3 linked regions of the Arabidopsis thaliana genome follow. The protein of the gene in region 3 interacts with the protein of the main gene of each other region in a pairwise test. Each region holds a gene or a part of one and is shown on either strand. Other genes may lie near its edges.

Evidence for each region. Proteins that work in one complex are often made in the same cells at the same time.
Region 1: the proteins of AT1G10090 (region 3) and AT5G08139 interact in a protein complementation assay, tested with the Arabidopsis thaliana proteins (one large-scale study listed by BioGRID).
Region 2: the proteins of AT1G10090 (region 3) and CER10 interact in a protein complementation assay, tested with the Arabidopsis thaliana proteins (one large-scale study listed by BioGRID).

What each region holds. Positions count from the first base shown.
Region 1 is NC_003076.8:2,614,206-2,618,399, reverse strand, and holds AT5G08139 (RING/U-box superfamily protein), read right to left. Parts: upstream 2,267-4,194; 5' UTR 1,914-2,266; coding exon 783-1,913; 3' UTR 512-782; downstream 1-511.
Region 2 is NC_003074.8:20,520,419-20,524,740, forward strand, and holds CER10 (3-oxo-5-alpha-steroid 4-dehydrogenase family protein), read right to left. Parts: upstream 2,681-4,322; 5' UTR 2,439-2,680; coding exon 2,370-2,438; intron 2,186-2,369; coding exon 2,146-2,185; intron 1,684-2,145; coding exon 929-1,683; intron 837-928; coding exon 768-836; 3' UTR 512-767; downstream 1-511. Other genes in the region: AT3G55350 (PIF / Ping-Pong family of plant transposase), read left to right, coding at 1-272.
Region 3 is NC_003070.9:3,290,159-3,298,074, reverse strand, and holds AT1G10090 (Early-responsive to dehydration stress protein (ERD4)), read left to right. Parts: upstream 1-1,876; 5' UTR 1,877-2,127; intron 2,128-2,694; 5' UTR 2,695-2,803; coding exon 2,804-3,084; intron 3,085-3,252; coding exon 3,253-3,399; intron 3,400-3,549; coding exon 3,550-3,613; intron 3,614-3,735; coding exon 3,736-3,945; intron 3,946-4,619; coding exon 4,620-4,805; intron 4,806-5,177; coding exon 5,178-5,476; intron 5,477-5,747; coding exon 5,748-6,024; intron 6,025-6,120; coding exon 6,121-6,396; intron 6,397-6,865; coding exon 6,866-7,099; intron 7,100-7,188; coding exon 7,189-7,503; 3' UTR 7,504-7,764; downstream 7,765-7,916. Other genes in the region: AT1G10095 (Protein prenylyltransferase superfamily protein), read left to right, coding at 83-319, 478-597; BCAT-2 (branched-chain amino acid transaminase 2), read right to left, coding at 7,911-7,916. UniProt on the Arabidopsis thaliana protein: Acts as an osmosensitive calcium-permeable cation channel.

The DNA of each region.
Region 1 (4,194 bases), on a different chromosome or scaffold from region 3:
TTGGAATATTTGGTGATAATATCTTGTGCACGTTATTGCTATCTTCAATTTATCATTCACACAACTTTACTTCTCATAGTTAGTCTTTGTATAACACTTTTATTCATTAACGAAGAAAATCTTTACGTGTTGTAAATGCTATACAACAAAACATTAATGTTTAGTTCTTAAACAAGAAGTAACAATGAACTTAAGATTAGTCTATTGAAGAATAAATGGACCCCAAAAAAAAGGTGATTGTTATGTGTAACAGATTTCAAAATTAGTATGATTAGAATTACCAGACGGCAACGTTGTTTCCACAAAAGGACAATACAACTCTTTCTAACATAAAAGCTATGTCGAACCACAGAAATTGAAAACCATGGTTGTTTTATTCTTAGCTCCACTAGTCATTATTTGCAAATCATATCCAGAATAATTTATTTTGAGATGATTTTTTTTACTTTTCAGCTTGAGTTTACTTTATTCGATTGAAACATGTAAGTATATAACTCGGAACATTTTAACATTTGGAATGAAGTTCTAGGTAAATGTATAAACCAGGCCAATAAAATGAGACAAAAGCAAAACAAACATCAAAGATTCAAAGTACATGCATATATGTTCTTCTCTGCAAAGCTAGCCTCCTAAAGCTTAGACCATCTCATGGGTCACACAATGAGGCCAAATACTAGAACAAAACCAACTAAGAAAACGCTTGACACAATCCAAACACAGAATATCTACATTATTAACTAGTCAAGACAAAAATCTTACTTATCGAGGATGATGTTTACCATTTACAGAACCATGCCAAAAGTATTTGTTGTTCTCTGAGTCTTCCTCTGCTCATACTCTGCATCATCTGTAGGCAACTCATAACGACAAACAGGACATGTGTTCCTTACTTTGAGCCACGGTACAATGCATTCGCTATGGTACTTATGATTACATGGCAGTTGAACCGCTTTGTTTCCGATATTCATCTCATCTTTACAAACTGCACAAACCAAACCACCATCATCATCGTTCTCACCTTCTAGTAGAACCACTGGGAGATTGTTGAGAAAAGATTTGGAAGTCGGAGGTAAACCAATAACGGATACCTCAGCATCGGCAAACTGTTCAAACAACATATCATAGTCTTGAACATAATCGTCATGATCACCACCAATGTACAGCTCTCTGTTATCCACATCAAAGTTGATCTCTAGAGTGTGATTCAGTAAAACTTCCCACCCTAGATTTCCCGAACCCTCTGCTCTTTCCCTTGTCACTAAACCCTCTAAAGAGATAATTGGCGAAGCAGAAATCAAACTTTCGTCATTCATATCAATTTGTGCAAAGCCACTTCGTATCTCTCTCTCATCATCCACGCCGCCACCACCACCACCACCAACTTCTTCCCAATCAAATTCATCAGCAGTTACCTCACGATCTTCTAATTGGAGTGAATCCCAACAAAGAGGGATAGTCACACTAACATCATCATCTTCATATTCATCATCATCATTCACATATACATCTTCTTCATTCAGATCAATCCCCCATAATTCCCTCTCATTCTCAACACCATCATCATCATCTGAACCCGATTCCACCGTAATCAACCTGATATCATTCCCCGAAGATGCAATATCGCGGAACTCGAGCCCAAAATCAGTCCTCCCCACAAAGAAATCGTCGTCATCAGGTTCATCAAAATCATTGCTAACATCAATATCACTATCACCTAAATTCTCAACGATAACACTTCCAGATTCCAATCCTAATTCAATCACCATGTCGCAGTTTCCCTCTATCACAACAGAACAAGTTTCGGATCGCGATTCATCCGTAGCCTCGTTATCAAAATCACCATGGATATTAGAATCGTCATGAGGAGGAGTTACCTGAGACTGCTCGACTCGCTGGTGTAACAGATCATCCATGACAAAGATAGAGAAGATCGAGAGATACCACGACTGAATCTGAAACCGATTCGTCGCATGAAACAACGACGGAGGAAGAAGAAGAAGAGTAATCAGTTATCGGGGGAGAATTGTGAGAAATCGAATCGAGGTCTGCTTCGTTAACTAACAATCTCACATCTCATGTGTTGTTATAATACGACGTCGCTTTCGATCTAAACACATGAAAATTTCCGCCATCAATTTTGACGATATTTACTCCTTTTGTGGAGTAACCTTAAAATGACGATTTTGTCCCTCAGTCATATTCTCGGCTCGAGAATCGCTTGAATGGGCCAGGCCGAAATATTGGCCTGTTATCACGGAGAATCTCTTGAGCACCCAAACCAAATTTGAGATTGACTTGAATTCAGTTCTATTTGAAATGATGAACAAAAAAAGAAAACCAATTTGTATTCTCAGTACGGTGGAATTAGATGCACATTTACACCATATCGGCCCATGGGCGGCCCATAAATTATAATGGTTTACTTCAATTTGTCAACATTTATATATCATAACGTTTTTAAAATTTATTTGACTAGAAAAAGGAATTTATTTTTATTGTGAGATACTTTTGGACCAACCAAAAAGAAGAAAATGTATAAAAAATATATTATTTTCTTCTTTTTGGTTGGTCCAAAAGTATCTCGGCAAGAAAATAGAAATAAATAAATAGAGAGGGGACACTTGTCGAATAAAGAATGGGCCGCGTCTTAATCGAAATCGCCATCCAGTAAGAATAAAAAATAATTAAAATAGAGAAGCCCAAAGAGTCCAAGCACGTGAGAGAGGCCACGTAAGCGAAAACTAGTGTGGGAACAGAACAAAAGAAAACACATCTTCTCTTTTTATTTTTATTTTTGACATGATGAGAGAGTCTCTTCTCTTCTCTCTCCAGAGCTTTCGCTTTCACGTATTATCAATGACCCATAAACCGACAGGTCACTCGAGAAAGGACACCACATGCCCTCTCCTTCTATTCCCAACATAATTTATCTTATCTTCTTCTTCTTCTTTTTTTCATCCACCATTAAAATTCCTAAACAACGTCATTAGAGATAGAGAAATATAACGAGACAATGACATTAATTACCTAAATTTTAGTCAAAAAATTATTTTATCACACCATTGTAAAATTAAAAACAGCTTTTGATTATGTGGTTTAATAAGTAACACATGTCATATGTAAACATATCGGTTAATTAATAAACATAACAGTTTTAATATGATAAGGAAAAATAGTTTAGTATACGTAAATTTGATGAATATTGAAAATAGTACGAATCCACTTTTTAAAATCATCATTTTACTACTATGTATACAATTATCCACGATTTAGTTTAAATTGGCAGCTTCAACCTTAGTTCTAGTGGTAAATGAGCGCATTACCACGGATGTCGGATTCATAAGTGTCAGCTATTTATTCACAAAAAAGAAAATAAAATATTCATAGCTAGAGGGCCCACAAGTTTTACTTTACCTCGAGTTCTAATCTCTGATATTATTTGTCAGAGTGAAAAAAAAGTGGGACCCAAAGATGAATAAATTTGCCCTCACGTGATACCATCACGAGAAAGCGATCGGTCGCCACCGCTTCTCTCTCTCTCTTACAGGGCACGTGCCCCTCACGTCTCTACTCTTCCTCTCCCATTTGCCCGTACCAAATAAAAATCTCACTCTCTACTTAACGGCAACGTTTGGAGTTAAACGGCGTCAAAGAGTGTCCAACAGTGCGGCGACTCTCTCGTTAGGAGATGATATGGGACCCACCGCACGCGAGACGGAAGGCAAATTGTTAACGGCAGGGAATGGGCACCCACGTGACCATCCTTCTCTGCTCCTCCTCCTCTTCTCCAAATCTCACTTTCACCTTCTTGTCTTTCCTTTTTTTACGGCCTATATAACCTAGTTTTATTCTGACAGTTCGAAATCCTTATTTAGAATTGTTTCACTTAATTAATATCAAAGTCTTATTTGGATTACAGCACACAATTTTACGACCAATGATGTGCGATTGTGTGTAAACCAACGATAATCTTTGTGGCAAACATCTCATATGCTCGTATAAAAAGTAATTAAAATAAGCTTTTTGTCAAACAAATTCTATAGATTTGTGACGCAAACATCTATGTGTAAATATATTTTTGATAACAAGTATACAGTATGTTGAAATATGTCGAGTGAGTTATAAACTACGGAAAAAAAAATTGTTACACAGTCTATAAAATATTTAGTATCTTTTTTTTTTAAAGGGTAACGG
Region 2 (4,322 bases), on a different chromosome or scaffold from region 3:
TGGCACTATCGAAGCTTAAAGACAGGTGGAGGATAATAAACGGGGTAATGTGGATGCCTGATAGAAACCGGTTACCAAGGATAATCTTTGTCTGTTGCTTGCTGCACAACATTATTATCGATATGGAGGATCAAACTTTGGATGACCAACCTTTGTCTCAGCAACATGACATGAACTACAGACAACGAAGCTGCAAGCTTGCCGATGAGGCTTCATCGGTCTTGAGAGATGAACTCTCTGACCAACTGTGTGGAAAAAATTCATCAGCTTGATTACTCTCTCCCGGTTCTTGTGGTCTTTCTATGAAAGCTTCATTTGCTTCTTTTTCCTTCTGGTAATTTTGTTTAGCATAACATTTTATCGTTTGATTTGATCTATTGACATATTCTTTTATGGGACAAACAAAAATGTGTATCTTATGAATGTTATTTTTAATTTATACAACTTGTATGTTTCATCGACGTCTAAACTCATTGCAATTGTCATTATAGAATGCCGCATAGACTGATTTATGTTACTAGTAATCATATTTATTATTGACTCATGTATGCGATACATAAAGAGGAATTGGTTTGCGTGAGAAACAACTACACAAGTACATTTCTAAATCTCTCTAACTTCAAAAATCAAAACATATTGAAACAAAAGGAATAAACATGTTATAACCAATACATAGACCGAACAAAAAAGGAAACGATACAGAGAACCCAAAGAAAGTCTCATTTTCAGCTTTATTAAGAGCTTTTACTGATAAGCAACAATGGCTTCTAAAGGAATGGAGGAAGTATCACCCATCTTCTTGGATACTTTGGCTTTCCATCTTTTCCATCAAATATCTGCAATACCAATATCAAACAATCCACAATAAGAACATTATTTGAGAATTTTCAGTTCCGCTAAAATCATATCGTGAGACCGCTATGTTTACCTTTCTCAGACGGCTGTGCTTTCCAAGAGCCCAATTAGTCATGATTAGAGCAGCAACAGCGAGGAAAACATATCCTGCAATGGTCTGAGTAGCGATGTTGAATCCTAGCCATTGGTAAATCTCGGTAGTGTAATTGGCACATGTAACAATGTTGAAGAGGAAACCGCGTGGAATCTGGTAGCCTCCAGCCCCACTGGGGTCCCTCAGATTCTTCAGCAATATGTGACAGTAAAAGTTTGCGACTTGGCAAACCAAACCAAACCCGAAACCAATCTTCATCTGAAGGTCACTAACTGGAGTGTACAAGGGATGGTTGACGTAATAAGCAATGTAAGCACCAAAGCTCCAGTAATAAGCACAGTTCCTGAACACATTCCCGATTGGGGAGGTTGCGTGGCTGAACCGATGTACGAAAAACGTTTCTAAGATCCGTTTGAAGTAGTGAAAGCACCAGTAGTACATAGCGTACGTCTGGACCGGATGGATCACACAGTCCTCTCCATAACCAAGAAACTTGTAAACAGGGAAGTAGTAAAAGACAGGGTAGATAAGGAGAGGGCCAAGATACTCGAAGAAGAAGAGTGTGCGGTAGGAAACTTGTGCCCCCAGGTCTTTGAAGACTACAGTTAAGGAGTTGTTGTTTCCATCACAGTACTCCTTCAGTGATTTCTTGCTATTGAGGACAACAGGTTTGTCCTTCGATCCAGGAGTCACGGGAAGAGTCAGTCTTTGCCTCGACGGGTAAAACTTCTTAGCTGTTGAAACAACAAAACCCAAATCAAACAGTTTAATACCTACTGAGAGAAAATCAAACTAAGATTTGAATGAACGAGATAAATATAATACATACAGAATATACATTGTACTGTATAGTAAGATGATTTCAGATAATTGCCATTGATGGACAATCTAAAGTGAACCTTTATTAAAGCTAAAAAGGGACTGATCCATAAATGACAAAAGGTTGTGATGATTAATTCAAATCCAAAACTGTGTTTAGAAGCTTAAGTGATCCTTATCAGCAGAAAACATTATCAAATCTAAATACTCCTTAAGCTTCCACACAGATCTTGATTATATAACCCCATAAGCATCAAATGGTATAAGGAGAACTCAAACACATAAACACTAGCTTAAGCTTACACACTCAGGTGAGATCTATACCAACATTCGACAAGTCAAATTTCAAGTAAAAATGAAAACTTTGGAAACTTTACCTCTCTTATGAAACGCTTCTTGCAGATCAGCAACAGTCGCCTGCGAAGCACAAAACACACGAAATCGAAATCAACAACCCAAAAATCATAAAGCATGCAACTTTCCCTACATTGAGGGACCAAACTAAAGAACAAAAACCTTCAATCACATTTTGGAAACAAACCCACGAATCAGAAGAAGAAGCAGATCGGAGAAGAGAGTATCATAAGAAACGAGAAAGTACCGAATCGGGGAGGTCAAGGGGAGCTTTGAGGACTTCTCTGCCGCTGCGGGAGACGACGGTGACCTTCATGGTGCTTAAGCGGAGCAAACGAGGAAGACCCAGATGAGGAAATTGAGAGAGATAGAGAGACAAGGGAAATTAAATAGAGAGGAAGAAGAAGACGAGATTGAGCATTGAAGAGGATGTAGTTGGGAGTAGGAGAACTACTAACTATCTTCCCAACTTATGCGATTAGATTGGGACCATTTTACATTTTTAGTTGCTCCCCATCATTTTTTTTTTGGTTTTTACTCCAAACAAAAACATTTGTTGCAATTGCAAATTATGGCTTTGTTTTAAGGATCCACCATTAGTAATTACTCAGTTTAGGTTTAGATTTTTGTTTTTTCGGTTTATGAATCTACTATACTATAGATTATCTGCTAAGGTTTTAGTTTCGGTTAAGTTTCGAATTTTAGTCAAATATATAATTTGTATTCAAAAACAAAAACTTTTACTATAATTTTTTTTATCAAATCGAGTGATCCGGTCAACTTAGATAGGAACCACCAAAGTGTTACTCGTTTTTTTTTTGGTATTTGGTTTAGTCATGTTTAGTTAAAACGTAAAAGCATTGCAGTATTCGCTATAGAAAAGAGTGAAATAATGTTACCTAGAAGAGATTGATTCATGAGCACAAAAACATTAGTTGCAAACTTCTACCCCCTCACTTGATGACATATGTCCATCGTATTGATCTAATGCTAAAATAAAATGTTGTATCAATGCAGTAAAAAAGTTAGGATTTTACATACCACAAAATGGGATGGAGTAATGAGAACGAATCCTTGTCATTGTCGTATAAAAGATGCAAATAATAAATGATCCCGGCCCTTAACCACATGGAAGTAGTGTGTTAGTTTAGTTATATTGGTCAATGAAATTTGCTTTTCCAACAAAAAAAAATCACCCAAAGTCAATCGCATACGAGAGCTCTATTAATTCAAGAGAGCAGCAAATAAAGCAAAAACTCAAAACCTAAGTTTTCTGAATATGAAAGGGGTTAGATAATCATTCTCTCAACTAGTTAAAAAAAGTAATGATAAAATTAAAAACACAATGGATCAATTAAGAGACAGTAGTTTATGATATATATGGTTGGGATCGATTAGTTGACATCACAAAGATCAAAATAATGACCGGTAATTGCCCAAATACCAAGGCGACAATTCATGCGATATTCAAACACCTTAATGTCATTCAAATACTATAACTAACTATCCTCAATTAACAAAGCTAGCTAGATTTTTCTCAAGTGAGCAACAGTCTAATTCTTCTGAAAAAACTTGTTTTTTCCGAGTGTAAATTATCCAATCTACTTACTACAATTTGAGCATTAATCTAGTTTTCTCTGCAACTTTAAAACCAGGTGTACAAGTGTCAACACCAGATCTAGCGTAAAACACTTAAGCTAGTACTTAAATAGATTATGCCTATTTTTTCGACCATTATATATTAAACTTTCCAGCCTTTCGTGAAAAAATGCGCATGTTCTTGTTGGAATCTAGGAATCTTCTTCTACTAAAGATTGGCATGCACGTGGTAACGATTTCCATTGTATACTATCTCGATATTTTCCCACCTTAAATATCTTGAAAATTAAGATCAAATTATATGAGAACATATATTGTATCATTGTTTGTAATAGCCTTATATAGTGTGTAGATGTGAACTATGGATACAAAAAACAATAGGAAAGAAAAAGCTGCAGAGAAGGTGTTGCTTTACAACTATGAATATGGGCTCATGAGATGTACACTACAGATAAGCGAAGATTCCTGTTGCATGAAAATGTGTTACTAATAAAAAAAACACATGCACATTTCTATAAAGACGAATTTCTTTTAAATAATAAATTTCTATAACAAATAAAGATAAGTGCTCCTTTAAAAACATGCAAAAGAATATATAGAT
Region 3 (7,916 bases):
TAGTTAAACAGTTTGTTGTCATGCTAATACAGAGATGATTGAATTAGTGACTTATTTGAGTTGTTATACTTTTTTCTTCCAGGCACTATGGCTTCACCGGCGGTTCCTCTCTCTTAATTGGATAATGTATTTCGCTTGCAATCATTCAGATGCTTCACCTGAAACCGGAGAGAGTATTATTATGAATGAAGAAATTGCCATCTTCATTGATAATGAGATCCGTCTTCTAGATTCTTCTATGACCGTTCCGGATACCAAATTTGAAGATTTTCAAGCTCAAGCATTGCATGCTGCTGTCTACACGCTATGGCTGACAAAGGTAACAGTGGTCTCTTCTTGTCCAAATAAAGTCATCAAAAAAATTGCCACTATTGTCAATCTCACAAGTGCAGAAAAATAGATTGGGAGTTTTCCGTATAGCAGAACGATAGAAATATGGTTGACTTTGATTTCTGATATGCATTCGTTTATAAGCAGAGCATTCCAGTACTGTGGAGAATGCTCGAGGAGAAGCTTGGAACAGAGAAAGTGAAGTGTGTACTGAACACAATTGCTCAAGAGAGACCCTCGCTTCTGCATCATTTGGTGAATGTCTGAAGACCCTCCATAAATTGGTGTCAAACCATGTCTCAGGATCTGTTTGAATTGTTTTTTTTTTTTTTTTTTTTTTTTTTTTTTTCTATTTTCGCCGATATAGCTTAATGAGTTGATTAATGAAGAAGTTGGCCGAGAAATCTCTGTCATCAAGTGTTACACGAGTCTTCGAGTGGTGTAACCAAACCTATTAAAAAAATGAATGAAGGTTATATAAGCTTCCAAAACCAGATATGTCGTATTCCGTAGAGACAAACGAGACCGTCACAGCTATCAAAGGGAACTAAGTATATTGTGTCCTCCTTCGCCTTCTCCCAAGGAGTAGGGATCTTGACCGATGATGAGGAACCCAACACCAGTGTAGTTAGATGTTTTATATCCGGTTTACAATAATCGTCACGCCATATGGAGACCATGAGACAAACGAGACCGTCACAGCTATCAAAGGGAACGCCATATGGAGACCATGAGAACATCTGGATCACCTGATTGCTGACGCTCTGTCAACTGTCTTTGTTGGAAGAATGGAGATTCGATAATTGATTTCCATTGTTTAGACACGGCCTTTGAATCTCAGCAGAGAATCCACAGCAAGTCTCTCTAGGATGCACTCTACCACATCGTGGGGCAGCGATTCCGTCCTCGAGCAGCGTTGTTTTTACTTGTGATTGCAGACTAGTCCTTGTTGATGAATATACAGAGAGGCTTATTTGCTTTATAAGCAAGTAATCTCACAAATAAACTGGAAAGAGGAAACCTATCACTCTTTTACCTATTTCTTATGAGCTTTGAATAAAGATACTGACCGTTGGGAATATCAAACCGATAATTATGTAAAGATGCTAAACCAGTTATATGCATACCGCATCATAAAGCATGTATCATAATTCATAGTCACACCTAATAAAGAGAATCGAGTTATTATATAGTCATACATAATAAAGAGAATGAATAGTCAAATGGGCATAATTTAATATGACCGGTCCTTGTTATGGGGTAGGTCTCACACTCTCACCACGCGGATAATAGATATGCGACCTTTTTTAATTTTCCCGGGCAAAAACTGTTGTTAACTGTCAATGTTAATTCCACGTGTCACAATCGTATCGCTTTACAAAAATCTAACGGTCATAATTTCGCCGACAAGGTAGTCACTATCACAGGCTAAAAAGACCTTTGCCGACGAGATATTAGTTTGGGCCATTCACGTTATGCCACGTCACATGATCTGGCGATTCCACATTTACACCAACGTGGAGAATTTTGCCCAATGATTTTTTTCAGTTATCTTTCCGTCTAGAGAAATATCCTCACCAAAATAATAACATGTAATGTGTATACAGTATACCTAATCAATCATTATCTTTCTTTAATTTTGTTGGATTTTTTGCATATTGCAAAGTTTAGAACGCGAGCGAATTCTCCGCGGAATTGGGGTTAAAAGGAAGAACTTTTAGGGTTTTTGATTCTTCGGGTTTTCTCGTGCTTTGATTCCTTTCAAGTCAAAGCAAAGCATTACCTTTTCTCGTCCATGTAAGTCAGAATTGTTCAAATTATTGTTTTGTCTTTTCTTTTGTGGGTAAATTTTTTGTTCGAATTATCTACGATCTCGTTGTTTGTTGATTCTCCTCAATCTCCTCTTCGATTTTGATCGAATTTCATAATCTGGGCTTTGGTTTCGCTCGCTTTCTTGTTTCCATTGTCGTAGTGAGTTCTCTTCGCGAATCAAATCCTTTGATTCCTCTGTTTTTGGTGTTCTGGTTTTCTTAGGTTCTATGGAATCGTGGGTCGTTTTAGTTCAATCATAAATGACGATTGAGTTACATTATCTTATCATCAGCCACAACTTTTAAGAGTTGATTATATTTTGATCCCGTATCTTTGGTTGTTCCGAACATGGAAAGTTTTAGGTTTTTAGTTTTTTCATCCCTTGTCTAAGTAATCGCTGTTTTACAACTGATCAAGTGGCAAGTACGTTACTTATGCAACTTTTGAGATCAGTCCTTACTTGTTAGAGTAACCACAATTCATGTTTCAATGTTACCACATGCTTCATGGCCATATCTCTTATCCTAGATTATTTCTTGCTTTTCCTTACAGATCTTTTGACGACCTAAGTTTCTGCTGTGAATTGTTAAACAGCCATCAGCCTGGGCTTGATTAGCCAACCCTGTTAAGGCAGGGTTTGAACTAAAAGTGAGATAGTGAGATGGATGTCTCAGCACTTTTAACGTCTGCTGGGATTAATATAGCGATATGCGTAGTGCTTGTATCGCTTTATTCCATTCTACGAAAGCAGCCAGCCAATTATTGTGTTTACTTTGGTCGATTGCTTTCTGACGGAAGAGTTAAACGTCATGATCCTCGTTGGTATGAGAGGTTCGCGCCCTCTCCTAGTTGGCTCGTGAAAGCTTGGGAAACCACTGAGGAAGAGATGTTGGCTGCTGCTGGTCTGGATGCTGTGGTTTTCATCAGGATGGTCATTTGCAGGTTAATGATACTTCACCTATAACATGCTTACTGTAATTGAATAGACAAGCATGGTATTTTCTACTGTTTCTATGTTCCAGCACTTGTTTTATTTCTATGTGGTATTTGTGTGTTTCGTTCTTAACAACTCTCACAGTTGGGTTATCGTGTTTTTTTTAAACTCTGCAGCATTCGTATTTTCTCAATCGTCGCAGTCGTTTGCCTTGCCTTTGTGTTACCTGTTAACTATTATGGACAAAAGATGGAGCACAAGGAAGTCCATTTGGAGTCATTGGGAGTATTCACAATTGAGAACCTTAATCCACGCTCACGATGGTAAAGTGGCGGCATATAATATTAATATTATCAGATAATATGCATAGCCTGTTTTTCTATCTGATTATGTTTCTCTGTGCAGGAGAAGATAGATTGCCAGTATTTTGTACAATGAAGTGCTGATCCTTGTTTTACTATTTTTATTTCCAGGCTCTGGGTTCATTGTCTCTCATTGTACATCATATCCTCTGCAGCATGTGCTCTTCTTTACTTTGTGAGGATCTTATACCTTGGTTCATTTCACGCTTACTGTTTCTCTTTATTCCATCACTTCCTCATCGTTTTGGTCTCTCGTCTCTCTCTCTCACCCTGTTTATACGTGTTTCACCACTGTAGGAGTATAAGAACATAGCCAAAAAGAGGCTTGCCCATATTAGTGGATCTGCCTCAAAGCCAAGTCATTTTACTGTTCTTATTCGTGCTATTCCTCAGTCTCCTGACCAGTCCTACAGCGAGACAGTGAGCAAATACTTTACAAATTACTATGCACCAAGCTATGTGTCGCACCTAATGGTCTACCGTGATGGCTTCATTCACAGACTGATGGTATGTGTTTTTATTTATTTTTGCAACATGCTGACTTGATTATCAGTCACTTGTCTTTTTGTTATGATTTTGTCGGATTAGGAATAAATTTTTCAGCTAACACCACTGCCGCTCTGCTTGGTTGACCTTAGCAGAATAGGAATCTCCTAGAATAGAAAAAGGAAGCTGTGATAGCTCTATGTTCCGGAATGTGATTTAACACTTTTCACACTTTACATGTTTCTTCTTTCTTTATAAAATGTTCACCATAACACTTCCCCTGTGTTCTGTCATAAATGCTTCTTCATTTGCCAAGGGCATCAAAGATTGATGAAATAACAGAACAGTAACTTTGTTGTAAAGATTTGATTGATAGTCATGTATCAGTTAAAGATATAGGAAGTTCTAAGGGGATTATATGATTGATCCACATTCTTGGAGTACTGATTTTGTTTTTGGCTCATTTGTAACGCTTTTATTTGTAGTTCATGTTATCTGATATTGAGGTTCTTTTGATATTACATCAGTTTTTTGCTTTGGTTATCTGATCAGCATTTTGAATGGCAATATCTTTGGTAAACAACTAGTGGATGGTGTGTGCTCATGATAACATATAGTTGAAGTGCAGTGGTCTATTTTGGAGAACAATTGAGTTAATTAGATTCTAATATTAATTGTGTCACTTTCTATTTTAGAATGAGACGGAGAGGATGTGTCAGGCTATAAAACATGTTTCTCCTGATTTAAGTTGTAATCCGAGTTTGAAGTCATGCGTCCTTTGTGGACCTGCAGCCACAAATTCTTTTCAAATCATCTCGAACGAGACAGACAGTGTCAAAGGATTGGAGCTTGGTGAGTTGACTTTGACTACGACAGAGGAAGTAAGGAATTATTTTCACTTTGATAGGTGAACTTTGTGCTGTACATGATATAGGCATAGTGTGGGGTTTTACCTGTTGCATGTCTTCACAGTTTTACAGCTGAAACTGGAGAATTGACTCTTTTGTTCTTTACTGAGATACAAATTGAGCTTTAGAGGTAACACTGAGACTTAGGGGAACCCAAAAAATACTACAATGAGACGTTAATGGACCTTGAATTAGTGATACAAAGAGCTTTTTGTTTAAAACCTTTAAAAGCTAGATCTAAAAGGAATATATCTCCATTCATGACTGCATTTGTAAACATTGCTTAATGAAGTATCAGCGCCTGAAATATGTATGCAAGGCTTACACTTTTCTGCTCATTTGCAGGAACGTCCCGTTGCTTTTGTGTTTTTCAAGAGTCGTTATGATGCTCTTGTTGTTTCAGAAGTTCTTCAAACACCAAATCCTATGTTATGGGTGGCAGACTTGGCTCCAGAGCCTCATGATGTTCACTGGAGAAATCTCAGAATACCTTATCGGCAGCTTTGGATGCGAAGAATAGCAACCCTTGTTGGTGCAATTGCCTTCATGTTTGTGTTTCTTTTTCCTGTTACCTTTGTTCAAGGGCTGACTCAACTACCAACGTTATCCAAGAATTTTCCTTTTCTAAAAGACCTCTTGAACAGGTCAGCATTTCCTTCTTGTACTCAGTAATAGAAGGTTTTGTTCGTATTCTTCTTAAGATGACATAGAGTTGGCACTAAAGAGTAGGTGTAGCTACGTTGCTTTTAGAGAATTTCAAGATGCGTATAGTCGGAGGCTGCTAGGCAGTTGATATATTTATGCTAGATTTTTCTAGATTTAAGCGCAGTAAAAAACTGAGAACAATTAAATTCTGTGTAATTGATTTCTTTTCATTTCCTTTCAATTTAATTATCCCTTTGAAAAACATTGCAGGAGGTTTATGGAGCAGGTCATCACAGGGTATTTACCAAGTGTGATTTTGGTTCTATTCTTTTATACCGTTCCGCCATTGATGATGTACTTTTCAACCTTGGAGGGATGTGTTTCTCGGAGTCAAAGAAAAAAAAGTGCATGTCTCAAAATTTTATACTTCACCATCTGGAATGTGTTCTTCGTCAATATTCTATCAGGCTCTGTTATCAGGCAGTTTACCGTCTTGAATAGTGTGAGGGACGTACCTGCACAACTTGCGAAACTTGTTCCAGCACAGGTAATTTTCAGTGTTCCTTTCACACGTGTGACTATATTCAATTTTGTTATTTTCTATAAGGCTAACGGTATGAAATTATTCATTGACTACATGCAGGCTGGCTTCTTCATGACCTATTGTTTCACGTCTGGTTGGGCCGGTTTGGCATGTGAAATCATGCAACCTGTAGGTCTTATTTGGAATCTGATTGCAAAAGTTATTGTTAAGAACAAGGAGGAGTCATATGAAACACTTAGGTTTCCCTACCATACAGAAATTCCAAGACTACTTTTGTTCGGGCTCCTGGGTTTCACCAATTCAGTCATAGCGCCTCTGATACTGCCGTTTCTGCTGATCTACTTTTTCTTCGCATATCTTATATACAAAAATCAGGTACGTGCATATCTGCTCTGATCTCTTCTACATAGACCTCATTTTGTAGTTGCCAATAAGCACTTCAAGAAATTGTGACATAGACACCTATATCCATGATCAAATGTTTTTGGACTTTTTCACAATTTGATATGAAACCTGATTCAGAAGCATGAAAGAGTATTATTTTATTTTCTTGAAAGATTTGTAACTAAATTCCAAGAACTCTGTACTGAAACATTGTCGTCGAGACCTTGCATTAAGTTACCAGCTGTTCTCATGATCTATCTGAAGCTTTACCTTATAACTTTGAGAACTGCATAAGGTGTTGTCTGATTGTCCCTGCATTCGTTGAGTGCTTGCTTCTGGAAATATGATTAATGTATTTGTGCTAATCGACTAATAGTGGTGCCATAGGTAGACAAGTCTGTGAGTTTGAAGTACAATTATTTGGATCTGACTAAGTTTGTCTTTTTTTTTTTTTTTGCAGATAATCAACGTCTATATTACAAAGTATGAAAGCGGTGGACAATATTGGCCTGTTTTTCACAACACTACAATCTTTTCACTGATCTTGTCGCAAGTTATAGCTCTAGGCTTTTTCGGGTTAAAGCTATCAACGGTTGCTTCAGGTTTCACCATCCCGTTAATCCTTCTCACTCTTCTATTTAGTGAGTATTGCCGGCAAAGGTTTGCGCCCATATTCCAGAAATATCCAGCCGAGGTATATATACATATATATATATATTACTCATCTTTTCATAACCTCGATTTGCATCTCCTGAGAGATATTGATGTATGAGTTTCTTTCAGATTCTTATCGCTATGGACAGAGCAGATGAGATGACAGGAAAGATGGAAGAGATACATAACAACTTGAAAGTTGCATACTCTCAGATACCAACGTGTTCTGAAGAATCCAGCAAAGCTGGTTGCACTTCTCCTTGCTCAGATCAGGAGTTACCAGATTCTGAAGAGTTGAAGCCTGAGAAAGAGAATCTTAAAGCTGATTACATATGGGAGTTCCAGAGAAGTAAATCTGGTCTTGATCTTGAGGTGAAATCCTGTCCCAGTGCTTCCCCAATTCGTAATTCCCCAGGGTTTGCCGAGATCTACAAACGAACATAGATACTTGAGTTACAATGTATACTTTATAACTCTGCAGATGAAAAGGTGTTTTTGCAGTTGAGTTACAATTTTAGTAGTTGAAACCCTTATGGGTGATGAAAGTAAGAAGTGGGGAAAGCCATTGAAACGTATATACAGTTTTGCCTCCTAAAATGAAATGTAAATTTGGAGTTACTGCAGGAGGAAATGAAACTATCCTTGGAAACACTTGTCTACAAGTACAATAGACGATTCTTTTCTTTGTCATAGTTTTGTGAAAGACATTGACTTTACGATATAGAAATGAGCAAAAGAGCTTTCTGTTTCTATCTCATATATATGTTTATAGTGTTCTTCATTGTCGTGTATACACAGCTTAAAATGCAGAGTAATCTCCTTTGTGGCAAAATATTGAAGATTGTTATTCTTCAGTT